2 linked regions of the Coturnix japonica genome follow. The protein of the gene in region 1 binds, or shares a complex with, the protein of each later gene. Links are inferred from orthologs where the notes say so. Each region holds a gene or a part of one and is shown on either strand. Other genes may lie near its edges. The genes, in order: ARMC8 and GID8.

Region 1 (15,762 bases):
CAGTTAGCTCAAATGTATGAAAATCAATCAAAAGGGGAGCACATTTCATTAGTACAGCGGGTTGTTCTGCAGTGTTTTAAGTGCTAAAAACCAAGGATAAGTGAATTTATGTTTTATTGTGTTGTCACAGCCTTACTTCCATGTGCAGAGCTGGAGCAATACGGACAGATGACTCTTGCATCGTTCTTAAGGTGAGCTAGTTAGACAATTCTGTTTAAAACAGCATTTCTATAAGGATCTACTCCTGTTTTTATTTGTCTAGTATAAAAAGTAGTGCAAAGCCTGTTAAATAGGTGATCTCAAAGCACCAAGTTCTAATGATAGTAATTAAACAAACAGTTGTTCCCTAATTGCCTTAAAACACTTATAGCAGTGTAGCTCTTGTAAGAACTTTTAGATACCAAAATGTTGATATCCAGCAATAAATATTCCAAAGTTTGACACACAGCAGTTTAAGGTTTGTAATGATGTAAGTAACTGTTTGTAAGTAACATGGAAACCACATCCCTACCTTGATCTCTGCATGCGAACAAGGCGCTGTTATCTGTTTCAGAAGCAAGTTTCAGAAGACTGTAGTCAAGACAGAAGACAATAGTCAAAATGCTTGCACAGTGTATAAAAGGAGCCTGTCAAAATCAGGCTGTTCCTCAAATTTCACAGTAGTTTTGTAAGTTTGTCTGAACATCAGTGCTTCATAACTTGGTTAGGGTTGGGAGAGTTGTCTGCAGCGCGTCAGGAACTGTCCCTATGTCCAGTGTTCTGGTAATGCAGGGGAAAGGGCAGTTTCTTTATAAGATGCTGCACTAAGAAAACACGTTTCAGTGTTAATCGCAGTTGAGTATGGTACATTTACACTGTTTGCTAGGGGGAATTTCGTATCTGCCATTCAAGGTAATTACAGGTGAAAGTCCTCATGTTGGCAGAGTCAAATTTCTATCTCTCCCATCTTTTTAAGCGGATATCCAAAATGCAGTTCATTCCAGTATCATCAGTGTCAGTAGTGACATCTGATCTAAACTCTTTTTCACTGCATGAGAACTTGGTTGAAAGTAGCCTAATGTATACTCAGTATTGCCTGAACAATTTCTCTGTAGTCTTTAAAATACTTTTTGTCTGAAGGTACCTGTTCAAATAACATTACTGAGAATTGCTTTAAAATAGCTGTTCGAGTTTCTTTATGAACCTAGCTGTTCCAAACAGTATTTTGTTTTTATTCTTTTTAAACTCATCAGACTCTGCCATGTTTGGTTCGAATGTGTAGCAAGGAGAGACTGCTGGAGGAACGAGTAGAAGGAGCAGAAACTCTGGCCTATTTGATTGAAACAGACGTGGAACTTCAGAGAATTGCCAGCATTACTGACCACCTCATTGTCATGCTTGCCGATTACTTCAAGTATCCCAGCTCAGTGAGTGCAATCACTGATATCAAAAGGGTAGGTTCTTCTGCTGAATCTTTGAAAAACAGTAAGAAATGGGCTCAAGGTGTTTCTTTATTCTGTTTAGCTCAGCCTTATATCCAAGTTCTTCAATGGAAAGGTTGCCAGACCTAGGCTAGGCCATGACCCTAATGCAACTAGGCCTCAAGTCTTTGTTCATTCTGGAGCCTGTAATATCCAAACAAAGAACTTTGTGTATATTTGGGCTCTACATCTTGTAAGAAGGATTTTGCTGTTCTTTGTGGAACACAGGAAGATGGTTTCTGGATAGTTTAATGCAGCTTCTTCATAGGATTTTCATGACATTTCCCAATGTAGTAGTGAAATACTGGACAAGGGCATCTGTCATGTTGCTCATGTGCTGAGTTTACAAGTTTACAGCTTCAGGAGCCGCTGCATTTCGTCTTCATAAGAGATAATAGTCCATGTGATGTGGATGGTGTGAATTCATAGGTGAAGTTGTGGAAAATGTTAAGTTCAGAGATGGTTCTTTTCTGTTACGCAGAAAAACCTGGATGCCCTGTATATCATTTCACGTTATCTCCCAGATGTTATCTGCACTTGCAAGAGGTTGGATAAACAATGATCCAGTATACCTTGGAGGCTTATTATCATAGGTGTTTTAGGAGCTGTTCTATTCCCAGCTGTATATACACTTACCAAAGCACTAGTAGATCAGTCAGTCTTGGAAACAGGATTGTTCTTGATATTCCTTGTAGGGAAGTATCGTTTGTCAATTCCCTTTTTCTCTCATTCAGTTTAAAGAAAGTACCCCAAAGAAGTGGATTACAGAGCCTTTGTTTTTCTTTGAGACTGTCCCCAGGGGTGGACACACCTCTCAGGCTTTCAAGGGATTGAATTGATTCTGCACGTACAGTTGCTTTTAAGTAGATGTAAAAATGCAAATTAAATATTAAAAAAACTGTTGGTTGCACTTTAGATAATAAGCAGAAGGAAAATGAGCATTTGACTGGGAAGCAGTGAGTGTTGGTGGTAGCATCAAAAACATGGCAAAGGTTCTGAACAGGAGTGATTATAGGTATTATGACATGGCTTTAAGTGTTCAGAAAGTCTCTAAAAATAGTCACCTGGAATGGCAGGGTGCTTGTTTGGAGGAGAAGGAAAAAAACTCTTTGAATTACTCCCTAGAAGGTAAAAACAGGATGAGTGTGGACTTTACTGAACAGATTACTTATTGTTGTTAAAATATTAAAAATAGACATAATACATTCTGCTCTAATGGTGTATCTGTACCAGGGGAAATTGTTCGTACAGCTTAATTTTGGACAGTTCTTTCATACCAATAACTTGTCGCTTAATACTGGCATTTTTCTGGCATTTTGAGTAGGCTTAAAATGTTGCTCTGTTATGTGGAACCCTTTGGGTTGGAGTTTGCAAGGGTGTCAATCATAGAGCAACTCTGCTTGGTAAGGACATGAAGGGATTGTCTAGTTGGCTATTGAGAACTGCTAACAATGGTGATTAAACAGCTTCTCAGTGCATTCAGTTCCAGTGTTCCCCAGGTGAATATGAGTTAGAACCTCACCTGTTCCAATCTGATTATTGTCTCCTCTTTCTTTGCACCTCCATAGAGAGTCCACCTTCATGTTCTTTGTAGTCTTCTTGAGGTGAAGGCTGCTCTTATGTCTCTGCTCAGCCTTCTCTTCTCCTCGCTGACAACCAGGGTGTTCTCTTTCAGCTAATGCAGGTCTACTATCCCAAAGTCAAGGCTTTGTATGTATTCTGCTTCTTGCCTTGCTCACACCTTGCAGGAGCTGGGATGCCACTATTATCCCTACAGCCAAGTGTTCCCACTTGATTATCATACCCAGTACAGTTGTTCCTGATTTGTGAGTCATGTGTCCCGTGATGCATCACCCTAATTCACTTGCCTAGAACCTGTGTTGTTACCTTCCCCAAACATCTAGGCAGTTAGCACTTTGATGTGTTGCCCTTATGACAGGAACTGGAAGTTAACAATCGCCTTAAGCTCTAAGTCCTGTGGTTGAGGGATGGGCTTCGGTTCTGTTGATAAAACTTTTGATTCTGTACTAATTTTTTCCACTTCTTCTGGCTTGTTCCTATAAGTTTCTGTTGGGTAAATAAGACTGCTTTTCACCTTAATATAGTCTGAATGGAGCAGTAACATCTGAGAAGTGTTTTGGCATCAAAATGTTGTAAGCAGATGTTATTTAAGTTGGCTTATCTGTAACTCAACAGTGACATTAACCATACCCTTAAATTATTGTGTTCAGATGATGAGCGTGGACATCAGCTGATGAAACAGCAGGTTGTTTGTATTTCTGGCTGTTCTACGTGTGATAGACAAAACCCGAGGAAGCAGCTATTAGTGTACAGCAAATAAGGAAATACCACCCGTAATTTTTAGCGTCTATATTTGATATCTGTATTTATTTAAATAGCTTGACCATGATTTGAAGCATGCCCATGAGCTGCGCCAGGCTGCTTTCAAGCTGTATGCTTCCCTTGGAGCAAACGATGAAGATATTCGAAAAAAGGTGAGCAAAAATGTCCGCAATGAGGCAGAGCTATAGGTGAAGGGCAGTGCAAGAGCTTGGATGTATGTTTTGCTCCTTCCAACTCTTCCTTTGTTTTGCTGTGAGTTGTGAAGGCTTGCTTTCTGTTACATTAACAGAGTTCTACAGCGCTCTTTCTTTGAGTGGGATTTGAAGAAAATTTGTCTTTATTAACAAAATAGAAGAGTAAGGTTAGTTGGTGTGAATTTTTCATGGTGATAAACTAGATTTTCAGAATAAAGTCTTTCAGCGTGCTGTGGTCCTTGCTACTCAGAATAAAATGGAATAGCTTGGTAGGAAGGGACCTAGAAAGATTATCAGTCCAGCCATTTAGGCTGTGTGAGGTCATTGCTGTGGCATGTGGGTCTTAAAGCATTTCTGCAACCTGTGTTTTGGGGAGACAAAATTTGCCTCTGTTATAAAATGAATGTTTACCCAGAAACAAACCCTAGGAAATCTGATCATGTTGTGAAACCAAGTCACAATTGATTCGGTGATTCTGAAGTGACCGAGGGGTTTGTGCTATTAGAAAATGTGGTGTCATGGGGGACAAATTCTACTCAAACAATGAAGAAAAGATGGGAAGATAGGAGTAGTCATGTAGTTAAAAGTTTGAAATTTAGTGTGGGGTTGCTATGTCAAACTAAAATATCAGGCACAAGAAGCAGGATGGATGAAAAGCAAGGGCAGGTAGGAGGTGGGAAAACATTCAGTTGAGAGGATAACAAGTAGGAGGATTTTTTCATTGGGGACCCATTCAGAATCTCCAGATTTTAGAGAATGATAGAATTATTTGAGTTGGAAGGGACCCTTCAAGGCCATCCAGCCCAACTCCCCTGCAACAAACAGGGACACCTACAGCTCCATCAGGTGCTCAGAGCCCCATCCAGCCTGACCTTGGATCTCCATGTCTCCAATGATTGTAAAAAAAAAAAACAAAAAAGTTCTTCCTTATATCAAATCTAAATCTCCCCTCTTTAAATTTGAAGCTATTTCCCCTTGTCCTACCACAGCAAACCCAACCGGAGATTCAAACTCATACATTTCTCTTTCTAATTTCTTTAGTTAATAGCAAGGATCCCTTCTCTTACATTTCAAAGAATTGTCTTTAACAAGTGATGGATGTGAACAGGACAAAGTTGGTTTATTATATAAAGGCCATCTTTCACCATGGTATTAACTCCCTTTTCTCCTACTTTTAAATGCTTGTGCCGGCCATGTCTAAATATGGAAGATGAGCAACTGTATCTTTTCCAGATGGCTTTACCACATGTCTCTAATCTATAGTTTGTATATATTTTGTACACTCACACATGCTATCTTTCATTTTAGTATAACACTGAGTAATACATTGTACATATTATATGTATTTTTTCTCAATGATTATTCAGGACATTTTGAGAGCAGTAGTGGAACAGAGGGTATAGATATCTCCCAAATCACGTGCAGATGCACACTTTGTTCTGCTTAGTTTGAGACTCTAAAGTGGCTTGCTGTTTTTAGTTATAGTTTTTGTACGGTATTTAAAACATTGCAGACAGGAAAGAAGAACAAAACAAAAGATAACAGCCCCGTAAATGTTCATATTATTTTATTCATATGATATTGGTTACTTTTTGCTCTAGATCATTGAAACTGAAAATATGATGGACCGTATTGTTAATGGCTTATCTGAATCTAGTATCAAGGTGCGATTAGCTGCAGTCAGGTAGGATGCTTTTTTTGTTTCATACAAACAATTTTTTTTGGTCAAAGTCTGGTGTTGCACTTGGTAGAACTTTTTTCAAGAGCTGAAGTTAATCTGAAATCTTCTGCTTTTGGAAAACTTGTTAGGGGGAGAAAATGATCCTGGACTAGCTCAGTATTTTCTTTTGCTATTTGCAAGCTGTTAGTCACCACGTTCTAGGCTGCATTATTATGTGCAAAAGCAACGTGTGTGTGTGTATGCATAGAAGCAGAAGCGTATCTCTGTGTACTTTTTTCACAATGAATGTTTCTTTTCTGTTTTAGATGTTTGCACAGCTTGTCCCGTTCTGTTCAGCAGCTCAGGACAAGTTTTCAGGACCATGCTGTATGGAAACCTTTAATGAAGGTAAGTGAAGTCAAGTTGCAACCACTCGAATTTTCTGCTTGGTTATAATAACGTGGAGGATATGGTGTATGTTTAATTTGCACGTGTTTCTGTAGAGTCATAGCATATATGACCCAGAAATCAGATTCCATGCCAAGAGTGCTGTGGTCCATGCTTTGCTATTTGTTCATCTTTTTTTTCTGTGATCAGTTAATAAAGCTACATTATCCCTAATTTTTAGTCTTGCAGGACACTAGGACTGTATATCCTTCAGTTCAGAGTAGATGGAACAGCTCAGGCTTGGTCTGTAAGTGCTACAAGAGTATGTAGGTCTGTTTTCTGCTGTAGTTCTCTAGTTCTCATTGCAAATACTAAAACTGAAGCTGAAGAACTCAGCAAAACTTTTTAAAATACTTTTTTTTTTTTTAAATTAAATGCTATTGTGCACAAGGTTAAAATGCATTGAGATGCATCTATTGTTTCTTGCCCTGTAATGTGATTGTCACTAAGTGCAGATAGATAGACCAGTTTCTTAGTGTCAGTGTTTTTCAGCTCTCGAGAATGGGGAATGAGGTGATTTTGCAAAGAGCCTGAATGCTTAGGCAATGTAGATGTCCTTGAGAATCACCATGCCTGAAATGAGCCTGACTCTATGCAGAAGTACAATAGCCATGCCAGAGAAAGCCTCATCAGCAAAGTTGAACTGATGAACCTGATAGTGAGGCACAGTTACATGAGCTGACTGTCTTCAAGCTTCAAAGTGCTGTAAGGAAGTAATCAGGAGATCTTTCGGCTGTTGCTGGTGGTTTGGATGATTCTGTACAAGAAGGATGGATGCCTGTTGGACACGCTGCTCAGGCCTGTACAAAGTCTCACTGACTTTCTCTGATCTGCTTATGAACATAATCCTCAGAAATAACGGACTACACAAAACTGATGTGCTGGTCATCTTATTGGCCTTATATGAGGCTTGTGTGAATTAGAAGCCCTAAAGTGTGGGACTACTTTGTACTGTAGTTTCATGATGGAAATGATGGAGCAGTTATTTTCTGACAAGATATAATATACTGTACCTATTACACATGAAGCACTGATTCTTGATTTATGAATTTATGAATTGTGATGATAATCTGTGAGTTAATTAATCATTGTTAATTGGCAAGTCGAGAGATTTGACCACACAAGTTCCTGGAGCTTCCTTTTTTGACTTTTTTTTTTTTTTTTTGGTAAAGCGTGGTACAGAGGTGTTCTGCAGCTGCAGCCTGTTCTCTGTTGGATGCTGAGCAGAGTAGATCCATGCTTTGCAGAACAGGGCTTCATTCCCTTGATTTCTTTTAAAACCCACATGAAAGCTCTCAAATCTGACTTATGAGAAAGAGTTTTGCATTGCTCCAGCTTGTCATGTAGTAAGAAGTATCACATTGAGTTGAATGAGTGCTGTCTGAATCTGCACTATGAGCATCTCCAAATGTGTACAAGTATTCCATTTCACAGCAATCCCTGCCTTACCCTACTCATTGACAGAGATTCTCCATTCTCCCCTTCATGACAACAGGTTTTACAGAATGCTCCAAATGAAATTCTGATAGTAGCATCTTCTACACTATGCAATCTTCTACTAGAATTCTCACCGAGCAAAGAGGTTAGTGTTTGTCTGTTACCTTTTATTGTTTCTGAATGAAAGCTGCCCTACAGAGGGGTTCAATAAGTGTAAGGGTATCCTGGTGGGTAGGAGCGACATGTTATTTGTCATAGAGTTGTAATGTTAGGCAGACTGAAATCTCTGATTGATGCTAATATCAAGTAAACCTGCTTACAGTGCTGTGACACTTAAATATTGTTGAATAGTTAAATATAGCCTCTGAAGGGGGGAAAGAAAAAGTAGAAATGAATTTTTTAACTCATAGAATAATGATTATCTTAAAAAAAAAAAACAACTTGAGAGCACCAAGAAAACAAACTTTAATTGGGGATATGATTGTCTTACAGAATTACTGCTGTGATCTTGAAAATGCTGCCATAGCTCAACTGAGAGGTCTTTATTTTTCTTGATTGAAAGATAGGGGATATCTGCTGTGCGTTCTGTGTCACATCTGTGTTTCGTACAATCCTTACAGCCCACCCAGCCCCAACCCCTGCCATGGGGTTGCCCTCCACCAGCTCACGCTGCCCAAGGCCTCATCCAGCTTGGCCCTGGAACCTCCAGGGATGTGGCAGCCACACACTTCTGTGAGCAGCAGTGCCAGGGCCTCGCCACTCTTTGAGTAAAGAATTCTCTCCCCTCATAGAAAACTACCTTTTAGTGCTCATGAATATGGAGCATGGCTCTGTCAGTTCATCAGAGCAGGCCGAGTGTGTTGGAATTTGAAGAGTGAGATATAAGCAAGACCTTTTTTTAAAAAAAATGATGTTTACTTTTATTTGTACACCTAATTATTTGGAGTATTGTTTTAAAGGTCTGGTTTTTTGGTTTTTTTTTTTTTTTTTGTCCCAACTTGTTCATTTTAGCCTATTTTGGAATCAGGAGCCATAGAACTTCTGTGTAGTTTAACACAAAGTGAAAATCTTGCCTTGCGAGTGAATGGCATTTGGGCTTTAATGGTGAGTAAAATACCAATGGAATACTTCTTGCAATTGCACTTCTGGAGTAGTTTGTTAATGTGACTTAAGAAACTTGTGAGCTGTTACTAGAAATAGTGTAAGTGAAGTCTGTTTTTGCATTCTGTCCATCCAAAGAAGGAAAGCACTGTCAGCCTGGAACGCTTCAACAGCTAGAGATGAATAAGAACCCTTTCATTCAGATACTGATTTGGTTGTCCGGATCATTCAGGCAAATATTTGAGCAGTGTCAAATCATTATGGGGACAAATAAAAGTGGGTAATAACCAGGTCAGCAAAATCAGCCATGAAACAGTGTGCATATGGATTTATTGCATAGCCATAAATGCTCTCTTATGGGGAATTTACAGTTCTTTGTAAGTTATAGCAATTTTGGGACTAATTCAGCAAGGATATTTATATGCTTGCAGGCAACAGTCTCCTAAAAGTAAAAAACTAAAGCTTAAGCTTTAAAAAGCATTGTCTTTTTCAGAATATGGCATTTCAAGCTGAACAGAAGATCAAATCAGACATCTTACGAGGTCTGAGCACGGAGCAGTTATTCCAGTTACTTTCTGATTCCGATGTAAATGTTCTGATGAAAACTTTGGGACTGCTCAGGAATCTTCTGTCTACTCGTCCAGTAAGTAGAGCTGCAAACAGACTTTGTTCTGATCGAACATACAGACAATGAAAATTAATGATCAGTTTTATTTTTGACAAAGATTTTGGCTCAGAATACAAAATGGTTTTCTGTTTGATTGCTCTTTGGTACGTGGCTAAAACTGAGGGCTCTGCTTTGCATTTATCCCAGTGTCTGTAAGCAAAAGTTCAAACCAGTGTCAGAAAAACTGGAAAGAATTCTGTACATCCGCTTGTTATCTGTTATAAAATACAGCACTAGACAGTTGTATTTAATCATCAGCTCCATTACATTTAGCTTCCCACAGTGTTGTCCTAAAAACTTGTCCAGAATAGCAGTGAGGGCAGTGAGGGAGCTGCACTTCTGAGTCAGTATGTGGAGAGGTGCATTGTATTGAGGATACCTAATGTTTCTTCTCTCTTGACACCTGAAATATTTCTGTTCTTACCCAGCTGTGTAGTGAGCTCAGACTTGATGAATTTGACTGTGGGACTGCTCACTTGGGGGAAAAAAAATGCATTCGCTCATTTTACACACTAAAGTAAAATGGTTTGAAAATGTAAGTCCATGAATTGTTTTTGACAGGGAGAATGAGATATTGGTGGAGGAAATGAAAGGGGTAATCCCCTGTGATGAACAGAGGGAAAACATGCAGCAAACATTTGGCAAGCCAGCATTTTTGTGGGGGAAAAATGGCACGAAGCCTCTACTGTGCATTTATCACGTGTTGTGTTTCTACCATAAAAAGGTCACTGCAAAATAGCTTCTGATATCTGTACTTACTGAATCTCAATAAGCTTCATTGAGGATTTACACTGTCTTAATGTGAAGATTTTCATGTGAAAGAAGCGACCTGTCATTCATTAATTCACCCTGAGCTGAGCTCTGACAGCAGAGTCTCATTATTTTAAGGTGTTATTTGTCTGATACCATCCCAGCTTCACCTACTGTCTGTAACACTTCAGAGCCAGAATCAACCGTTCTCATTCTGTACCCAGAACTTACTCCAGAGTAACTCATCCAGCAGCTTTTGATTCAAGTTTCAGTGCTAGCAATTTTAAGAAATCCTACAAGAATCTCTATTGATAAGAAGTTCCAGCTCAGAAAACTGCAGTGTGTGCTGTGCACAGGTTATGTCTGGTGGCTGCTGGCTGTCACTCCTGAGTTTTGCTATCAGATCCTCCAGTAGATTTAGTTTTGCATTTTTTTTCTGTTACTCCTTATGACTGCTTATATTCTTGTACTGGTAGTCCCTAATCATATGACCCTTTTACCTGTAAGTCTCTGACCTTGAGACAGTTTTCCTAGACTATAAGTAATTTATGCATCTTATCTTTCTGAATCCTTTAAGGTTTTTGGTTTTATTAAATGAAGATCTCAATCCTGGTTGCAATGATCCAGTAAGTGTAGCAAAAGTTCCAGGTGGAAAAAAAATAAGCCACACTTCTTTACCCCTCCTTGATGTCCTCCTGTTATCAGAGGAGAAAAGGTGGTTCTTTCTATAACTACAGCATCATACTGAGAGCTCACATCCAGTAGGACTTAGTCTTCAGCCTGTGGCCAAGTAGGAAACCAGTGGTTTTTTTCCTACAGGTTTCAGTGAACTCAGAACCAAGGCCCATATTGTGCTCTCTCAAACGTGACCAGGGTTCAGATGAAGAGGAATATTACCAAGTGTTTCTGCTGCTTTGGGTTTTGGGAGATCTCGCTATGTACTATAGGAATTTTGTGCAATGTTGCTACTCTTTATTTAAAGTAATTCATGTAGGAATGCTGCCTGTGTGTGTGGAAAATTACTGCTAACTGTATTTCATTGCTTTGACAGCACATAGACCATATAATGAGCACTCATGGGAAGCAAATCATGCAAGCGGTGACCCTCATTTTGGAAGGGGAGCACAATATAGAAGTCAAAGAGCAGGTATCCTTTCTTTTGTTTTCATGGCAGAATTTTCATTGGCAGAATACAATCTAAAAATGCTTACTGTTCTCACCATGTTAATTTTTTTGAGGATTATGATTTGCTGTGGCTGTTTTACTGAGGTCTGTCCATTTAATAACTTTAGCACCTACAAGAAGTTCCTCTTCAGTGCATTACTGCAAACATGCTTGAATTCAATTCAGAATGCTTTTTAGATTTCACAGGTAGGAGAACACTGTACATGAGAGCAGAAGAATTAAATCTAAGGCAGTAGCATGGCAGAAGGGGGATGGTGGGGACATGGGAAGAGGAAAAAGCCAATATTTCATGCCTGGAAAAGCTTCATGGTTATTTGCTCCTACAGCAGCTGCTGGAACAGTCAATAAAAAAGAATAGTGTTAGTGCCCGCTTTGCTGGCGGTGGAACATGTTCTGCTGGGAGCTGTGGCATCTCAGCTGTTCCTGGGGGCTGTGGGAGCCAGCAGTGCTCACAGCAGAGGAGGCAGTAGCGGGGAGAAGAGCATGCTGGTGTAGCCCAAGAGAAGAGCAGGAGGGGCATGCTCTGAAAAACTGCAGTTGGATGAGTAAAAATATACACAAGCAAAGGGACCTGAAGAGAGATGTTCAACAGAGAAAAGCATTTCTGGTTTTAGAACAGCATAAGGGTGAGGCCACCACAGCAAAAGTACAAGGATGGATGGCAGAATTTGGCTAATTATGGGAGATGAAGGCTCTCTTTAACTGTCTTCCTCACACAGGACATGTGGTGGTGAGTAATGGGGGCACTGAGGAGCTGTGGGAGATTGCCATGGATTCCTTTGGCTTAGAATGGATGTTGGTAGTGAGCAGCATGGCAAATATCTTTAATCGCTAAATCCAGAGTGATTGAAATCTCTGCTCAGTAAAGAGTGGGCTGAAGTGGTCTTTTGTGGCCGTTTAAAATGCCGAATTAGCAAAAAGAAATACCAAACCACAAACACATGTAAGACTAAATATGTAGCAAGTGTAGTGAAACCATGGTTGTGAAGCAGCTGAGGATTAAACAGTTGTTTCTTTCTAAATTGTTTTTGATAAAGCTCTAGTAAGTGAAATGGCCTTTTTTGCAATAGGAGATGATTTTGCCTGCCAAGCCTCTGAGAATTATTTTAGAGGAGGAAGCACACCTCCTGTAACAAGGCTGTTGTACTGAAGCTGAACGTAGGCTTTCAGTTTTGGAGCCTTTATTTACAGAGCACTTCGCTTACCCCTGCAATGAGATGAACATGTTTTTGTTTCAGAACTAACTTGCACACAACACTGCACACAAGTAGGATGGTGCTTATCGCTGACTGCCTTGTTAGTGTGTCCTCAGCAGCTTTGGGACGTAATGGACATATGCAGCTTAGGCAAAGGCATCACACATGCGCTGGTCATTCTCCACAGCCCTCCTGCAGCCACACGTACAGAAAACATGGCTGAATTCTTGTGCAGCTCTTAAGGGAAGAATTCATAGAGCAGTGTGCCTCCTGAGCGCCTGGAAAGCTGCCTTTGCAAGTCTTAATGCCTTGTGCATGTAGTGCAAACATGGGCTTTCTTGCTTCAAGGTTATGTTGTAAGATGGCTTTTCTAATTCACAAGTAATAAGCAGGTGCATTAAGTAGTTCGTTTGCGTTACCTCTGCAGGTGAGATGTGTGATTAGAACTTGTGGGGAAAAAAAGATATTTTTCTGAGGGTTCAGCAGATAGACCTCTGGTTTTCCCTTTCCTGACCTGAAGAACTACATGGATGTGTTCTGTTTTTTCCTAGCTGCTGTTACAGAATAGACTCCTTTACTTTCCAACACATTGTATCTTGTCTGTGTGCTGCATATTCCCATAAGAGACTTAAATTTTGCTCATTGTGAAATGAATCAGTGATTGTTGCTTAATTTTTTATAACAGCAAAAACTGTGTTTTTGGAAGGGCTGTTCAGGCACAATTGTTACTGCTTTGGCACTGGTGAAATGTAAGCAAGCTGGAAAATCCAGATTAACGATATTAAAACTAATTAAAAGAATTGTTTGTGACAAGTTCAGAGCTGTCAGGAAAGCTGTATAAATCATGGAATGTGATCTGCAGCCAATATTCTTAACAGTTTTTCTCTCTTTCAGACGTTATGTATACTTGCCAATATAGCAGATGGAACAACAGCAAAAGAACTGATTATGACCAACGATGACATTCTGCAGAAAATCAAATATTATATGGTATGAGGGAATTCTTCTTCAGTGTTTTATCTTGATCTTTTGCCAGAATTAAGGATGACGCTTTAGTATTTATTCGTGTAAATTCTTAGTCATCGTCACGCACTTAGCTCTCGTCTACCCAGTTGTGCTTAAGAAATCATGCTGTGCAGCTCTGTATGGCTGATTACAAGATCCGGTGTTATTTCCTGTAATAATGTTATGCTGACTTAAGCAATACATTTAACAGTTCTACTTGGAAAACTTGTAATGATCTTGGAAAAGCAGCATCCAGTAGATCTCTTACTGAGTATGTAAGAGGAATTGACTGAAAGCTACCAAAGTGTCTTATGTCATGGTGTTATCTTTGAGAGAAGTTATAGATACAGAATTTGTCCCCGCTTTTCCTACCTCATTTGTTACAGGATGAATGCCAAAATGTGTGAGAAATTCTGAATCTCGTCTTCTAAATTTGAATACTTTTTTTTTTCTATATTTAGAGTCATTCAAATGCTAAACTTCAGCTTGCTGCCATGTTCTGTATATCTAATCTCATATGGAATGAAGAAGAAGGTAAGAAAGCCTTATTAGTAATGCATAGACAAATTACTGCCCTGATCAAAAGGATAGAGTTACATACTAGTCATTATTGCAGTGCAGTGGAATCCAAACCATAAAGGGAGACATCATTATAGGTGTAATATGGAAGAAGTGCTTGGAACATAGGAGAAAATGTAGAGGGGCAGGAAGGGAGGAGGATGATGTCAATGAAAAGGAGCTGATGAGGTTCACACAGATTACACCTCTCTCAGGTCACAGAATTTTATGCTCTAAATGTTTTTCTGCTCACAGTGCTACAGCTTAGACTTAGAAATACACCTCCGGTTAAATGCTGCTTGTATCCAAAACAGAAAAAGGAGTTTAAAGAAGCCTGACTTCAGTTGCTTGCATTAGGATAAAATTTGTCTGGGATTTTGCCTTTGAATTCTTTTTTCTTTAAACACATGTGTACTGAAATACAGAAAAGAAAGAGGAGCTCTGTTTTAAAGCTGCCACAGCTGAAGGAGTTTTCCATTGCTGTGTCTTAGCTGAACTGTGCTCCATACCCCACTCCCTAAGCTGGTTTCTTCTGCCACTCCTTTCTTCTGTTCTGCACGTGTTTTTTATTTCAGTGGTGTTTCCAAGAATGTGATTTATTGTTGTAGGTTCACAAGAACGCCAAGATAAACTACGAGACATGGGAATAGTAGATATCCTACATAAATTGAGTCAGTCATCGGATCCGAATCTGTGTGACAAGTGAGTATAAATAAAACATAAAATCCAGAAACCAAGATGAGAGGGGAATCTTTGCTCTTATACGTGATCTTCTGGGATGCTGACTTGGCTCAGGTCTTGGAAAGGACTGTCAGGGCCATGACAGCATGGTTGGGAGGTGTAGGCTCAAAGGAGAAGCAAAACTTTTCAATTCAGGTTCTGATAATTAACACTCAATTAGCTGAAATATTGACAAAACTCTCACCATAGTTTTTTGGGAGGTATTTGTAACCAAGATGTCATAGAATCATAGAATCATAGAATTACCCAGGTTGGAAAAGACCTTGAAGATCATCAAGTCCAACCACAGGACTTGTTGTGCAAAGTTATATAAATTGTCCTGTTCTGACTGCTGCTTTCCACTGTTACTGTGAGGGTGCTCACTGTGGTAGTAGAGGTGGTTTTCCTGACAAGAATAACGTGCTTCTTGTGTGTGCTAACTTCATGATACATGACAGGTTTATTTCCCGGCTATAGTCGCTGCTTTTCATGGCACATCTGTAGTACAGAAAAATAATGGCTTCTCACCAACTGAAGGGGGATTTCTTTGCTTAAAAATTCAAGATTTGAGATGCATCTTAATCCACACCATACCTGACAGTAGCTTAGTTTATGCTGAACATCTGATGTACGTGATTAGATCGTCTTATTCTCAGGTACCAGGTGGATCCTTGAACTGTTACAGCCCACACAGCATTTCTGCACCAGAAATGAGGTTCTTCCAAACTGAAGGAAGCAGCGTTTTAGTTTCCTGTCACCTCTTTAGTTACCTTCCCTATCTTGCTGACGTAATGCGTGGTTTTGTTCATACATTTGATGATGATAAAGCCAGAACCCAACAATTAACAGCTTGATTTTCACTTGCAGGGCGAAGACAGCACTCCAGCAGTATCTTGCATGATCAAAGGCTAATGGAATCTACGGACACCCCTCATGTCTACTTAAGGAACAGCAGGAAATCCTCCTGACTCCTTATATTTGCACAAGTCACCTTGGGCTGCATTTTTCTTAGGTGCAGGGAGCTGCTTTGCAGAAACAG
Region 2 (15,862 bases), on another chromosome or scaffold:
ATAATTTACTATCCCACTGTTTGACTGCTACAGATACATTGCAGCTCAAGGTCAGAAGCTCAGACATTCCTAGCAAATACATTTTTTACCAGTAAAACCTCCACATTTGAAAGTAGTTAAAAACACAATTTGCTTGAGAGTTATATCTAATAATAAGCAGTGAAGAAGAATACAAAAAGCAACCAAAAGTAATACTGCAAAAATCTACTGCAGTACTAACAGCTTTAAAGTTAACTTCTTCCTATTCCAGAGACAATACGTTATTTCACATTAAAAAAATTAACATTAACATACTTTGTGATTTCAACAATGCATATTCAAGTAATACAGCCATATTCCTCATAAATACCCCCACACTAATAAAATGAAGAACAGACCCTTCTTAAAGAAGGAATTTAGGCTGCATGAAGCTGTAGTATATCCAGGCAAATATGAACTCTGCACACAACAGCACAAAGCATCAAGATCTACTTTCAAGGTAGCATTTACTACCACAAAAGTATTTCAGTCCCAAATACAAGACATGATATTTGTCAGAGATGGCAGCAATAGCACCTACAAGTCTCCTACTACATCCTTCCACCATGAGCTCCTGCTTCTGCCTCACCTGCCCACCCACCTTTACAAAGACAGGCAACAATACTCACAAAGCCCAACCATGGGAACTGGAAAGTGTTGTGTAGCACCTCATCTAAATCCCTAACAAAAGCCACAGGGGGGTAACAAACATGACTATTATGAGATTATGCTGACCCAAGACAGAAACTGATGCACTGCAGGATACAGGAGAACCTGTACCCTTGGAAAATCAGTTTCTCCACTTAGGAAAGGTATCAAGAATCAGAGAACAAAACCCACTAGCAAATGAAACCAATTTGGCAATTTAAATAAATTAAGAAAACAGATTTATTACAAGAACACGTATCTTCATATGGTGTTCACTCCTGTAAAAAAGAACCTTCAGTCACTCTTTTATTTTAATAAGTCCCTCTACAGAGTGTCTACACCATCATCCCATCCCTCCCATGATTTCTGTCATGTTACTCACTTACCTTACATGAGCCTAAGAAAGCCATTGCCACAAATAGGACAACAGCCCTGCACACAGGCAGTGAATGTGGCACCTCTGGAGGCATTGAATTTAATGTGTAAGCACAAAACCACATTACCACAAACACACAGTGGACTCCAGTCAACAGTGAGACCCCAAAATGATAATGAACAGCTGCAGAGTATAATACAGCTACCCAACTAAAACAAGTGGTTCAGGCAGCTCCCTGGTTATACTATAGGCCTTCACCGTCACAATTACACAAGCCAGAAACATTCAGGGGCACAGTTCCTAATCAACAGAGCAGTGGTGTACGTTCCTCACATAGAGGTAATGGCACCATTAAAACTGTACTTTCACCCGTATGCTGTCTTTACAGGGTGGGGTGGCAGGTATGCACCATTTCAGTGCAATACAGTTTCATCAGTGCAGCCGCACACTGAATTTGAAGGCTCTACCAACACATTAGAACAGGAGCTTCTATGTAAAGAATGGGTTCACCTCAGGAAGAAGCAAGACTTTGAAAGTTCACACATTCTCTGGATGAATAAAGCTACATCAGAGTCCAACAGAAATGATACTTAAGAGTTTCCAATGTAAGGATACAGTTACTAATTTTAAGAACAAAATATTATAGAGATATGATTGGTATTCTCTACCCCAGAGCTTCACATGAGGCAGAGACTTCAATGGCTTACTATCAAGCTTAGTGCTCCTGTAACACCATCAAAAGCTTTTCTCCACATTCAGCTACACAAGGTAACCCCAGATCTACTCTAAACCACAAGAGTTTACCCAAAGCAACAAAAACAAATGTAGATTTTTTCCTCAGGTTTACCTCCCCTCTCAAGGTAAGAATAATACAAGCAAAAATGACACGGCAAAAAGAACATTAAGAACCACTGCAAGCACAATCCCAAGCAGCACAGACAGTTCTGCCCTTTTTTCCCCTTTTAGATAAAAAAGGGAGGGGGGGAAAGCACCTTTCTGTGGTCAAAAGCTTGTATTCCAAGAAAAAAAAAATGTCTCCTTATGGCTTCAAAATCATGAAGCCAATTTCGTAAGCCACAGTCCTACGTTTAGCAAACAGACAGCAACTACAAACTTAGACTGCCATTGGTTATTACTCACTATACAATTATCTTTACCATTCCTTTTCTACCACTTTGGATGGAAATATTTCACAAATATACACTACATTTTTTGGTTTTAACATTCAGCTTCTGCTACAAAACCTGACCTCTTCAGCACCACTGATAATATACTGCCAGCAACTGCAAAGGAAACAAAGAGCTCTGGAAAACTGATTCACACCATCTGATATTCCTCCACTGAAGTACCAATGAAATCAGTTCTTTATTGTGACTTATGAATAGTGGGATGTTAAGTGAACACAAACAGTTTAATTCTTCAAGATCCCATTGCTTCTTTATTTTTAAACATAGAACTATATTGAAAGTACTGAATTGTCAAGTTTCAGCTTGAATATTCACACTACTTAAAATTCCCTCTTCTCCTTCAATAGCTTTGTACTAACTAGTAAAGCTGGGCAGGCTTTTTGTCAATTGGCACTATGATACATAAACTAGTTACACTTCCTACAATGTATCTATCTTAGTTTTACATGTATCTCTCTGTATCCTCTGGCATGTCTAATCCTGGTTGTCAGCAGAACTAAGTGTACAGAAATAGACTCAGAGCAACTGCAGGATTACAGTTTCTGATCCTACCAGCCCAGCTGCTGGAAAAAACACCACGCTTTGCTGTTACACCTTTTTCCCTTTTCAATGTGAAATAGAAAGTGAGCTATAAATACATCTGAAACCAGTGAGCAATTTCATTCTCACGCCATCAAAAAGGGGTCAGTATATGACATAAAAAACATGAGATCTTCCTTCAGAATACAGTCAAGTGATTACAGCATACTGATTACGTTACTACACAGTCAACAGTTCAAATACCAATTGCAATTAGGGTTTACCACAAGAACACGTGTAATACGCATTTAATTTTTGTCTCTTCCCTAGTGGGAATTTTAAGTTACTTGTTAACCTTGAAGTCTATCAATGCTTTTAACAGTAACTCCACTAAAACTCACTATTCTATTAACTTCTTTCTGAAGTTGTATTATATAAAAACATAACAGTAATACAACCTTTAAAGCAATATGTTCATAGTATATTGACAGTGGATCTAAAACAGTCCTAAGGAGGAGGACTGAGAGCAAATCCTGCATAAACTGGGTAAAATCAGTTGTACTTCTACCACTGTCCTACTGGTTGAAACATTATAGGTGACATTAGGCAGAAAAAGCTCAGTGTAAAACTAACACAGACAGACATTAGCACTTCTGTCAACAAGAAACCATCTAATCTTACTCTTGCTTAGTACAGTCCTGTCTCTTCCCATTTCTATCAGTTACATTCCATAATCTTCCAGCCTAATCCTTATAATCCTTCCCTTTCCCTTCTCCACTTAAGACTTCTGGCTGAAGTTCAGGCTCTGCAGAACTAAAAGCACACAGTTAAAACTCTACAGACGGAATCTGAAACTGAAATTAAATCATACCATCTACTCCCAGAGAAAAATCTTAAAACAGAATTAAATAGAGCCACCATCTTCTGCTGAGTCCATCAAACACTGAGAAACACACTCAATTTTGTTTGCTATTTTACTCCTATAGAAAGTTTGAAGTGTCAAAGAACAATAACAAGCAATTGGCATATAAAGGCAAAGCACAACCTAAAATCTCTATTAAATTAGCACAGTAAATACTACACTTGTACAGTAACTAACTATATATTGACATTGTTCATTGACCAGCAATCCAACTGCTTGAATGGCTGCTAAATTTCATTTATAAGTGTATCAACAAGACACAGTTTAAGCTGTACCTCTTGACATTACCACTTCTAAAGAAGCTCTTATATAAATAGCTTTAAGTGGAAATTTTTAATAAAATTAAAATACAGTTGAATACCAACTGCCAAATAATATACTTCAACAAAGCTGTGATGATTAAGCACTGAAATGAACTACTCTTGCAGCCTCAAAAAGATTATTTGGAGTCTAAAACATTAATAATTTCTAAAAAGGATCTTAATGCTGCACAAAACTTGCCCATTAAGTAAAAGGAATTATCATTTTTTCCCTTCCTGAAGTTCCCAGGGGAAAAAAAAGGGAACAAAACCAGTGCAACAAGACAAGACCATTACACTGGTTTTAAGTACTGAGTATATGTGAGTGTAATCCATACACATTATTCAGTTTATTAAACAATATGAAGTGTTCTTTCTGAGTTGAAAATGACAAGCTAAGATGACAGGATCTTATTCATCCACTACTAAAATGCAGTTACTGCTCAGATAACTGTATGAAACAGAATTTGGTCACGTTCAAAGCACAGCTTTGTGCAAGGCACAAGGGACAGTACAGAAATACATTAATAGGGAGGGAGAAAGGTAGACAGTATCAGACATTGACCAGTATAAATACTCAATACATATTGGCATTAACTAATGATGCAACCCCTTCTCCCTTCTCTACAAGGCACCAGCACATGCTAAAACTCTACTTTTCCTGTTGAACTCACCACTGAGGAGCCGTCTCCATCACCCAGCTCAAAGCCCCATAACCTCGTGCCAGGACCCACCCCGAGCCCTTGATGCCGAGGAGCAGCTCTCCACCCGCATCCCACCACTTAATAGGCCCGAGGCGGAGAAACCCTCATCCGGCAGCGGGATACGTTGAACGGGACCGAAAAGGCGGTTAATGTCGGTTGTAGCGTCACAGGGAAGCTCGCCGCCGTCAGCTTGACCCGTGACGTCGCTGGGCTCAGCTCACGCCCGTCCTTCTCCTTCTCTCTCCCCCCAAGATGGAGGAGCCCGCCTTCCTGCAGAGGCCGTCCTCTCCTCCGCGGCCCAACCACGTTAAGAGCTCACGGGGCGGCGGCTCGGGGCTTCCTCCGGGGCCCCCGCAATGTGTGGCCTTCGACGTGCCAGGCCTCCGACGTGCCCTGGGCCCGCAGCCACACCGATGGTTCCCTGGAAACAGGCCTCGCCATCCCCAGTTCCCCCCCAATCCCTCCCCTCAGCCTTGCGGCCTTCCCGGCCCACACCGCCCGCCTCCATTTTCTCATCGAGCCCCGAGGCCTGAGGTGGCGGCCGTGTCTTTTCCGCCTCCCCTCCTCCTCCGCAGCGGCTGCCCGGTTCTCGATCTCCTCCTCTCCCCGGTGCTTCTCCCACCGCCTCCCTCACTCACCGCGGTCAGTGGGTGCGGGATCTCTCCGACGCCACGAAGGTCTCAGCCGCGCCGCGCCGCCATTTCCTTCTCGCAACGGCTCCAAAGCGCTGGGCGGGGCCGCTCCTCCCCGCGCTACCATAGAGACGGATATGGCGGCCAACCGTAGGCTAGAACGCCCACCGCGCCTCGCTTTGCGCACGGCTCTCGGAGGACTTCGGCCGATACAAGCTCCGCCCCCCCGGCCCAGCAGCCCGCGCGCTTCCTCACAGCTGGGAGTTGGGCGGGAAACGAGCGGCCCCCTCAGTGCTACTCAACCCTAAAGCGGCCCTTATATCCCAATAAACATCATTATAAAATGCCTGGGCCCCTAAAAACACACTTGGGAGCCAAATAGGCACAGTATGAGACTCCTGAGGGTAAAAGCTAAGGGTGATGGCATTAAAGTTACTATTAGCTTTTCAACATAGGCACCGTCTCCACCTGTAAAGCAGGACTGTATTAATACTTACTCCACAGAGAAACACCAATATGTGAGAAACAGACTCCTATACAAAAGTACAAGATTAATACATATCAATTGGCTTCTAAAACAGTTTAATAAGCACCTTATGCATCTAAAGTACCAGAAAAGCTTATGCCAGGATATCTACCAAGCCCTCGGCACTACTCTCCTTAAAACCTTTTAAAAAATAAAATAAATTCTTTTAAATTCTTTTAAAATAAAACCTTAAATCCTTTTCCCATTGCTTTCTCAGATCTCATCTACTATTAGGCAGTCAGTACAGAGAGACTGAGTCAAGAAAGTCAGTGAGACTTTCTTCTGCAGGTAATATATCTGTGCTTGATTATCCCTGGGGTTTCTCTAATTGTATTTGTATTTATCAAGAATGAGAAAACAACAACAGGTAAAAACTAGAGACAGGGTTATCCCAATAATAGACTAGGGATGAAAGCTAACAAGCAAGTTCTTATCCCTGTTCCATTGCTTTTCAATATAAATATTGATCACTTCAAGTCAGAAGAGACTAATCCTTGTTGGCTGTGCCCCAGCTTTACCTTTTTTGATGAGCAGAATAAGGTTTGTATCCCCAGATACAAACCACACCACAGATACACCAGGTGTTAAGGCAGCGTATCCTCCAGGTACTTGGTTATACAAGGCTCCCAGCGTATCTCTGCACAAACAGAGAAATACTTTACCAAGGGCTATTCTTATTTGTGAAGCTTACCATAGAAGAACTATGCAGCTTACAATTTAGGTTGCTACAAAGCCTTTTCTCTCAAACAAAAGCTTGAGGTGCTCTCAAGTGTCTCCGCTTTACTCAGGGTGCACTTCCCTCAATAGTAAGCTCAGGAAACCCTTCTAGAGAGGGAAATTCTCCTACTCCCTCTGTCTTTATGGAAGTCTCCTAAGAAACTCCACCTTTTGGGGGAGGAGCTGACAAAAATCAGGGACAAGAATCTAAAGGGAAGATTCACAAGCCTGAAGGTTGAGATGTATAAGGAATAGAATTGGAAGGTTGTGTCTTTTCCTAAGCAACAAATCTGTTGTGGTAGCTACAAAACTAGGAGTGAAAAACGAGTAATTGTATCCATATTCCCACTGAGTGAAATTATATGTTCTCAATTAGTATCATTTGCCATATTTCATATGCAGATGTACCTCTTAAGCCCTGCTCTCGTTTCAATACACAAATAGAGCAGTTTTGTTGCCTTTGTGCCTTGATTCACAAGCCTTTTTGGATCTAATTGTGGCAAGTTTATTATATCACAGTATCACAGTCTCGTGTGGGTTGGAAGGGACCTTAGAGATCAGGAGGATAAGAGGAGATATTGTGCCCTGCAGCTGGGACAGGCGGCTCGATGGAGCCATAGAAGAGACAAGACCCAGCGCCACTTGCCCGTCCCATCTACAGTAGGTGGCACGGCGGCCATTTTGTAGCCTGCCCTCAGCCGCCCTCACTCTGTGCTACTGACTCCGTGGTCCTCCCGGCGGGACCGGCCTCAATTGAGCGCTACAGAGAGGCCGAGCGCCTCATCTCTATGGTACCAGCGCCCCGCTGGATGTGTGTGTGTGTGTGTATATACACGACGTACGCTCTATCCCGCGGCACATCTCTATGGTTGAGCTTTCTCTCTTCGATTGGCTGAGAGCAGTTCTCGCGAGATCCGCTCGCCGGAGGCCTAGCAGAGGCGGCGGAGGTGTCCGCGTTGGTGCGTTGCAGCCGGTATCGCAGCGCGCTCGGTAAGATGGCGCCGGCGGGGCCGCTCCTTCCCTCAGGGTACTTGGGCTGTCGCGGTTCTCGCCTCGGCTTAGCGGCTCGGTCCGTTGCTGATCGCTGTGGACGGTGGGGAGGCACCGGGCCTGTGGGGAACGGAGCCGTGCGCTTGTGTGGCCTGGTGTGGGTGGGCCGGGTCGGAGGATGCGCCTCTGGAGGCCGGGGCTGAGCGGGGTCTTGTTCAGAGGGGGAAGGTCGGGGTGCACAGCGGGGCTCGGACCGCAGCACTTGGGGGACACCGCGTGGTTCAGAGAAGGAGCTGGGGGTCCGGATGGACGAGAGACTCAACATGAGCCAGCAGTGCGCTCTGGCAGCCCGGAAAGCAAATGGGATCCTGGGCTCCATCAGGAGAGGGGTGGTCAGCAGGGATATGGAGGTGATTGTCCCTCTCTACTCTGCTCTTGTGAGGCCCCATCTGTTGTACCGTGTCCAGGTGTGGAGCCCTCAGTACAAGAAAGACATGGAGATTTTGTTAAGGGTCCAGAGGAGGGACAGGAAGATGATCAGGGGGCTGGAGCACCTCCCCTATGAGGACAGGCTGAGGGAGTTGGGTTTGTTCAGCCTGGAGAAGAGAAGGTTGCGGGGTGACCTCATTGCAGCCTTTCAGTACCTGAAGGGAACTTACTGCCAGGAGGGGAGTAAACTCTTGGAAAGGGCTGACAATAGCAGGACACGGGGAAATGGTTTTAAGTTAAAAGAGGGAAGATTTAGGTTGGATGTTAGGGGGAAGTTCTTTACTGGGAGAGTGGTCAGGCCCTGGAACAGGCTGCCCAGGGAGGTTGTGGATGCCCCGTCCTTGGAGGTGTTCAAGGCCAGGTTGGACGGGGCCCTGGGCAACCTGATGTAGTAAAGGTGTATGTTTGGTGGCCCTGCCAGGCAGGGGGGTTGGAACTACATGATCCTTGAGGTCCCTTCCAACCCGGCTCATTCTGTGATTCTGTGATTGGCAGCGCGGGCCGGGAGCGCTCGGTTCTTCGCGTAGCTCCGGGCCCGTCCTGTCCCCCGCTGCCCGGCGCTGTTGGGGTCGGTGCGGCTTTGGTGGGAGCCGTGGTCTCCCGGCTGTTCTGTTGGGAAGGGGAGGCAGGCGGTGCGCTGCCGCTCGGTGTTTCGGTGCCTGTTGCTGTTGTTGCCGCCTCTCCTCCCCCTTCCGCTGCCTCTGTCAGAAGCGGACAAATAACCGGCTTCGGTTTTAGCAGAGTGCGCTGTTTCCAAATCCGAGAATGAAAACAAACAGGAAATAACTTAGTAGCGTTGGCAGGAGCTCCTGTGACAGTCACTCTAAGCCGGCTGGTTGTGCGTGGGGGCACTCACTGCCTTCTTTTGTGGCCGTGTGACATACGTAGCCATCCAGTCAGTGTTTTTGTTTAAAACAGATATTGGTTACATATGTTTCGCTTTGGAAATTAGTCATAGATTTTCTAGTCAGTTGTAAAACTTGGATTCATTTGCTCTGCGTGGTCATGCTGTGGGTCTTGTATGACTTTTAGACAACGTTTTATTTGGACTGGATTTAACAAGATAGTGGTGTTTGAATTTTGTATATGGATGATGGATGAAAGCAGAGTTAGAAACTGGCTGAAAGTGCAGGAAGAAGGAAAAGAAAATGTAAAATAATGTGTGGAGATAAAAGGGTCCTTTGGGATATTAATTTAAGAGATGTCATTAGAAAGATACAGAGATAGTAGTAGAACTGTGCGTACACACATTAAACTTGCTTTTAATTGAATTGTGTTAAATGAAATGTTTTTCTGTCTTTGTAGTAAGAGACCAGGATGAGTTATGCAGAAAAACCTGATGAAATCACAAAAGATGAATGGATGGAAAAACTTAATAACTTGCATATTCAGAGAGCAGACATGAACCGCCTTATCATGAACTACCTTGTCACAGGTAAGGGTGTGTTGTAGTGCTAGGAAGCTTTTACTTTGTTGGGGCAAACCACTTTGGATACACTATGGTACTATAAGGAGTGACATTAACAACTTTAAGGATTTGGTGATTGCTGTTGACTTCTAGTAAGGTACACGTGCTCTTGTATTCTCTTAAGTGGACACAGAATCAATTAGATTAAAACAGGGACCCGGCAGATATACTGACATAGAAATTACGCTGACCTTAATTCTTACACTAAAAGATATAGAAGAAAGTATTTTTGGATTGCTGTAAACTGAAATGCCCTGCTTCTCTATGATACCTTTTTTTTTGTGCCATTGAGAAAGAACTCAAGATATGTAGCTGTTTTTAAATAGCACTCATGAAGCTTCGCAGAGCGTTTATCAGAAGTAAGTTTTAACTGTCTAGAAAGGTAGACTCTGAAAGGACACTTGTCAAAACAGTTTGAGACCAAAATGATTAAGCCCTTCAGCATATAGCCTAACTTTATACTTAGAGCAATCAGAAACCCTCGGAAATTGTCCCTGGCAATTATGATGCATACCATCACAGGAAGCTATACTAGGGTGGAGGCATTTATATTTGATCTACACCCCTGTTTACATCAGTGTGCGACTGGATCTTCTGAGATGAGAGGAGAGCATCTTAGTGGCTTAATAAAGTAAACTTTATTAAATAAAGTTTAAGATTCTGGGTGGCCATTAAAAACCTTTACCAACAACTACATTTGTTTTAGAAAAACAAAGTTAGTTTTCTTTATCTGTTTTTTCTCATTAAAACTATATAAATGTGGTTGGGGATGGGAGGGAGAAACAAAATAATGCAAATTCTTAAAATAGGAGCCCATTTGTGAAACAGATTTGTAGGTAAAACGTTTTTATTTCAGAGGGCTTTAAAGAAGCAGCAGAGAAATTTCGAATGGAGTCTGGAATTGAACCCAGCGTTGATTTAGAGACTCTCGATGAAAGAATAAAAATCAGAGAAATGATTCTGAAAGGACAGATTCAAGAAGCCATTTCATTAATAAACAGCCTCCATCCAGAACTGTTAGATACAAACAGATATCTCTACTTTCATTTGCAGGTAAGGACAAGTGGCCGTTTTTGTTTTAGAAGTTGTTAAGAAACTCTGGAAGAAGTGTGAGTTTAAGAGTATGTTAAGGGATTTGTGGCTGAACATAATTGCAGTTTCAAATGTTCGTTTTTGATATCATTTAATAGTTATGGGAAGATCTGTGGCATGGTACAACAACTGTCATATCATGTTAATTAGTAAGTTGGAAACTTTTAACAGTGGGAATGATCTGTGATTTACCAACTATTAATCTGGATTTCTGGTGGTTCCTTTAGAAACACATTTTCAAAACGTGTTATTTGGAAACCTCAGACTGCCTTTACTAGTAAATCTTGTTGGCAAATCTGTTACTTCTTAGATGTTTAGAAATGACCTTAAGCTTTCATGGTATGGATTAGTATTTGTCTCAAATTACATACAAATGACAGAAGATTATGGTCTCGAAATACTGGAGATTTGCTGCTTTGTTTAGCTAATATCACTGTGGTTTTTTTTTGTATGTAGCAGCAGCATTTGATTGAACTGATTCGGCAGCGTGAGACAGAAGCAGCTCTGGAATTTGCTCAGACCCAATTAGCAGAACAAGGCGAGGAGAGCCGGGAATGCCTGACAGAAATGGAGCGCACGCTGGCTTTGCTTGCCTTTGATAATCCTGAAGAATCACCATTTGGAGACTTGCTGAACATGATGCAGCGACAGAAGGTAGAATTTGCTCATAAGGAAGTCGATGTATTTTATTTGTGTGTGGTGAAAACCGTGTCCAAATATTTTTGAAATATATGGAAATGTGTATAGCTCTGTGCAAAAGAGCAGAAGTATTTCTTAAGCAGCATTCTAAAACCTGATGATGCCAATAATAGGCTGTTTGACTTTCTTCTTTGTTTCTCTAGGCTGTTGGTATATGGAGCTTTGTCCTGGCCTCATTCTGAGGAGTTAACAAGCTGTGTGTGATGTTATCAATGTCTCTGTAACATTACAAAGTGTTAATCATAGGCAAACTGTTACTAAACTCCAGTATTTCTTTTCCAGGTATGGAGTGAGGTTAATCAAGCTGTTCTAGACTATGAAAATCGTGAATCGACGCCCAAGTTGGCAAAATTACTGAAACTACTACTGTGGGCTCAGAACGAGCTAGACCAGAAGAAAGTGAAATACCCCAAAATGACAGACCTCAGCAAGGGGACAATTGAAGAACCCAAGTAAAATGTGTGCAGATGGACATCAAACAATCATAGTACTGCACAGTATACATTTATATCAGTCTGTGACTGAAATATTTTTACTACAGTACAGCACTCAATTCAGATTTTTCAATGAACATCTAATTTGAAGGGAGAAAAGTCCCTTTTGAATGCTGCAAAAACTGCATTGAAAGGCGCTGTATCTCTTTGAAAGTCTGACTTAGGCTATGCACTATAATACATTTTTAAAAGAAAACCAATTAAACAGGACAGGAAAAAATCACGTTTTTAAAAGTACAGAACTCAAGCTTTCTAATTGGCTACTGATGCTTAGTTGAGTGGTCAGTGAGTTAATACGGAGTTACATTGGCAATTATTCAGTTAAGTTAAACTGTCTCCTGTTTGAAATGTGTATATAGAACAGTGAATATTTTCTACCTTTAAGTTATAGCAAGATATACATTCCCCTTAAGAGTAACTGGTCATGTTTTCACCTATAAACTTTGCAGTAAGGTCAACCTTTTGCCTAGGAAATAGTGTACAAACTTGTAAATCTTAATTTAAGAACTTTTTTTTTTCCTTGTTTCTGACTTTTTGGTGCTTTATATGGTGAGAGCTATGTTCGTAATGGATCGGTGACCCATCTTTTCATGAGAAGTATTGTTGGAAATAAGTTTTTTTTCTTAATTTTCATGAATGACCAAAATGGCCCTCAGAGGCATTTGAGAGTTTTTCTTAAAGGGGACCTTTCCCTTCCATGTAGAGTTTGCAGCTGCAGACACTGCAGTGATTCCAGCAGGTTAGTAGAGCTTGGAGGGCCACCGGATTTTTGTAAGCTGAAAGACATACTTGTGTTAGGCAATGAAGTGGGGGGAGAGATACTTATGGAAGCCTCTGATGCATCTTCTTGTGCAGGATCTGCCTTTACTCACGCTGAATAAGAATTGTAGTTTTAGAGCTACTTGGGCTGTTTTTATGCCTTGAGCTGAGCAGAGCAGGGCTGTCTTTAAAGGCTGAAATGTCAACTTTTTTCGATTCTTTCCATACCTTTCTGAAGAGATACAGTTCATCTCCACCTGTATTACTTTGTTTACTGCCCGCCCTCACTCCAGTTAGGATTCTAGTTTTAATGTTTTACGTGTGAAGTCCAGACTTTCAAGTCAACAAATTGTAATCTTGTGGGTATGGGATGTTCAGGTCAACTTAATTTTGCAGCACTGTTCACTGGTATATATCCAGTGGTAGCACTAATCTTGCCAAATCAGTCTGTAGGTTTATAGGTCTGTATATCAAGTTATTAACGATTTGTTGAACAAAGACCGATCTGGTGGGTGAGGTAGCTGAACATCACGATGCACTGGCAGTTGTCATACCAGTCCCATACTGTACATAATCTAGTCTTGTATGGTAGATATTACCCTGTAGAATTAAACTTAGTTTTCACTTAATTTTACTGGAATACTTACGCATTAAACTGTATAAAGCTTTGCAGATACACCTGACTTATGGAAACTTAAAAAAACAAAAACAAACCCTGTTACTGATTGCATTACTGTGAACACTGTTTACTTGTGTAGCAATTTTTTTTGTGAGGGGAATCCATTATTTGTTAAGCAGCTATTAGAGATGCAGAGCACTGAGTTAAAGCTAGATGATGGGTATAACAAAATGAGTTGTTCTCATTTATCGCTGATAGTTTTGTTCTGCACTTTTAAGGCATTTTGTGGCATGGAGGTCTCGAAGTTTATGCATAACAAGCAAGCTATCACTTGCCCCCAACTACAGCAGTGGTCTGGCTTTCCTTCTCCCAGACTGGTTATTTTAACACCAGACTTTTAACAGTTGGTTCTTTTTTCCTTTTCCCATTCGGTTGATGTCTGCAAACCATGTATGACTTCTAGTTTGTGGGAAACTCTGGTTATTGTCACTTGGTTTAATAACAGACTGCAGAAACGAAACTGGAATAGCTCTAATTTCTTCATATGTAACTGATCGGCTTTTCCTCTGTTCTGATGCTTACCTACTAAATGTCATCTAAAGCTTCTCCCAGCTGAAGTGGAAAGCAGTGCGGTTTTGTGGCATGACAAGCATTTTTCTCCATGAGAAATGCAGTATTACAGTCCTGGTTGAGAAGTTCACTGTACTTCTAGGGTTAATTTCACATAGTATTTTGGGCAAAGAGTGAGCATAGTTTACTTGAATTTTCACTAGCTTGGTTTTTTTCCATTAAAAAGAAACACCATGTTTTTTAAGGGGTTTAATATAAAGTTAGTATAGAACTATTTCACTTTGTTTTTATGAACATGCCACGTTGATAAGCAGCTTTAATCTGTAAAGTTTTTTGGTAACTGCAAGAAAATATTGGAAAGCTATGCATTTTAGAGAGAGCATAAAGGTAGTCATAATGGTACTTCTAAGGATCTTTATATTAGTGTATATAAAATAGTTTGCATATACAAATATAATATATAATCTGTTTGAAATATTCTTGAATGGTAGGGGCTGTGAAACGTTATAATTTATGGAAATATTGTACACAGTAAACAGACCTCTGTCAGTACACGAATGGACTTTTGTCATATGCATGAGAAATGTCTTATTTGGTGACTACTAATGAATGGGATTTTGTTAACCCATTTTTGTTAGATAACCACTTTAACAAATCCTATTAAATGCCACTTTGAACAGTTTGCTTTAGCATTAAAATACATATTATTGTTACATTTTTTCCCCCCACTTAATTTAGAATGAGAATAACTTTTGTATGAAGATTTGTTCCAAACTCAACGGTGGCAAACAAACATGGTACACTGCACTCATTCTTCCCCCTGAAAGCAAGTAAGATTTTCTTTCCATTAATGCTACGAACACAAAGAAGTTGAGTTGTAAAATATCTTGTCCTACCTGCCTCTGCCAAAAGCCTTTGTATGAAATGCGTTTTGATTAGGCTACAAATCTCATTCCCTCTCCAATATCGTCTCCTTAATAGCTGTCTCTTGGCTGTTACCGTGTTCCTTTTCTGCCTCTCTGATCTAAGCTGAACTGGTTGCTTCTGTTGTACAACGGGGTCATTTGTGAAGGGTTGGGGGTAGTGGGTTTCCATGAAGGTGAACTACTGGCAGTGCTTTACTAGGAAAGAGATGCTGAACTGTTTATTGTTTATGTAGCTGGAAAACCAGAGGCTGCTGAAACCAGAAACAAACAGCAGGATTTGAAGTAAAGCGTTTCCTCTCAAGACGTTTGAACACGCAGAGCTTGAAACTGGGGGAAGTAGCTCTTGATCCTGAGGTGATTTCATTGAAACACTTCCTGCTCCTTCCACCTGCGTTAAAAGAAACACTGAAATGAACGTGGAGAGCACTTATGTAGCATTAAAAGTGTGTGAAGTTACGTGGGCATCATTCTGTCTCCTTTCCACTCCTTGTACGTATATGCGAAGCCATTACATGATCCTAGGTTGATTTTATTGCTTTTAATTTATAACGTTTCTGCTTTGTATGTTTGAGTCTAAGCTTCAAAGCACTTAAAAATACAAACACCCACAACCTTGGCTAGTAGTTGAGTGGTGCTCGACTTATTTCAAACCATTTTCTGTCCCAAGTTCGTTCACAAACTGCAATTGGAGTTTCCCTTTAGGAGATGCCAATTGCCTCTTATGGAACATGTGAACCTATTGCTCTGTCTCGTATCCTCCCAAAAGCAAAAGCAAAACTGGGTCATAATTTGTGCTGAACTTGATAAGATCTTCAAATAATGCAGCTGTTGTGTGGGTGAAATTCAGTGCAGGTGGATGTCAGCTCAGATATTACCCCAGTAATCTTCTGTTTCGTTTAATCTTTTGGCAGATTAAAGTGAATGCAGGAAAAACGAGAGGAGATTGTGTTCTTGATTGGTTTCTGAAGCCAGCACCTGTCTTCCTAATGGTTTCTATTTGTGTTTATTCACCCCGATGGGATGTTTGCCTCCAGGAAGTAACAAAGTAAAGGAACATATCGATATTCTCTGCGTTTTCTCATGGCGTGGCTCCCTCTTCTGGAAACACACAGTAGCAGAGGGAATAAAATTACCTCCTTTGCGTGGTTTCCAGCTGTGTCCAAACAGGTGAAAGAAAGCTGACAGTGTGATGAATGCTGAGCCCTGGG

What was found.
Region 2: the proteins of ARMC8 (region 1) and GID8 are in contact, whole or in part, in a cryo-EM structure (PDB 7NSC), measured with the Homo sapiens proteins. The link is inferred for Coturnix japonica from reciprocal best matches to the Homo sapiens genes ARMC8 and GID8. Residues at the interface, in NP_001350870.1 of Homo sapiens: Asn45, Val47, Ile48, Gly49, Asn50, Val85, Ser89, Met92, Arg127, Arg130, Arg161, Tyr162, Tyr166, Leu200, Ser201, Tyr202; in NP_060366.1 of Homo sapiens: Ile83, Ala84, Asn87, His90, Pro91, Glu92, Leu94, Asp95, Thr96, Tyr101, Tyr183, Glu184, Asn185.

The regions. Positions count from the first base shown.
Region 1 is NC_029524.1:2,444,998-2,460,759, forward strand, and holds part of ARMC8 (armadillo repeat-containing protein 8), read left to right. Parts: intron 1-130; coding exon 131-191; intron 192-1,232; coding exon 1,233-1,433; intron 1,434-3,859; coding exon 3,860-3,955; intron 3,956-5,598; coding exon 5,599-5,681; intron 5,682-5,983; coding exon 5,984-6,065; intron 6,066-6,285; coding exon 6,286-6,351; intron 6,352-7,599; coding exon 7,600-7,686; intron 7,687-8,552; coding exon 8,553-8,645; intron 8,646-9,135; coding exon 9,136-9,285; intron 9,286-11,110; coding exon 11,111-11,206; intron 11,207-13,334; coding exon 13,335-13,430; intron 13,431-13,906; coding exon 13,907-13,979; intron 13,980-14,611; coding exon 14,612-14,705; intron 14,706-15,590; coding exon 15,591-15,624; 3' UTR 15,625-15,762. UniProt on the Homo sapiens protein: Component of the CTLH E3 ubiquitin-protein ligase complex that selectively accepts ubiquitin from UBE2H and mediates ubiquitination and subsequent proteasomal degradation of the transcription factor HBP1.
Region 2 is NC_029535.1:7,549,309-7,565,170, forward strand, and holds GID8 (glucose-induced degradation protein 8 homolog), read left to right. Parts: upstream 1-7,418; 5' UTR 7,419-7,538; intron 7,539-9,332; 5' UTR 9,333-9,344; coding exon 9,345-9,462; intron 9,463-10,351; coding exon 10,352-10,548; intron 10,549-11,043; coding exon 11,044-11,241; intron 11,242-11,568; coding exon 11,569-11,742; 3' UTR 11,743-15,277; downstream 15,278-15,862. Other genes in the region: DIDO1 (death-inducer obliterator 1), read right to left, coding at 5,312-5,432. UniProt on the Homo sapiens protein: Core component of the CTLH E3 ubiquitin-protein ligase complex that selectively accepts ubiquitin from UBE2H and mediates ubiquitination and subsequent proteasomal degradation of the transcription factor HBP1.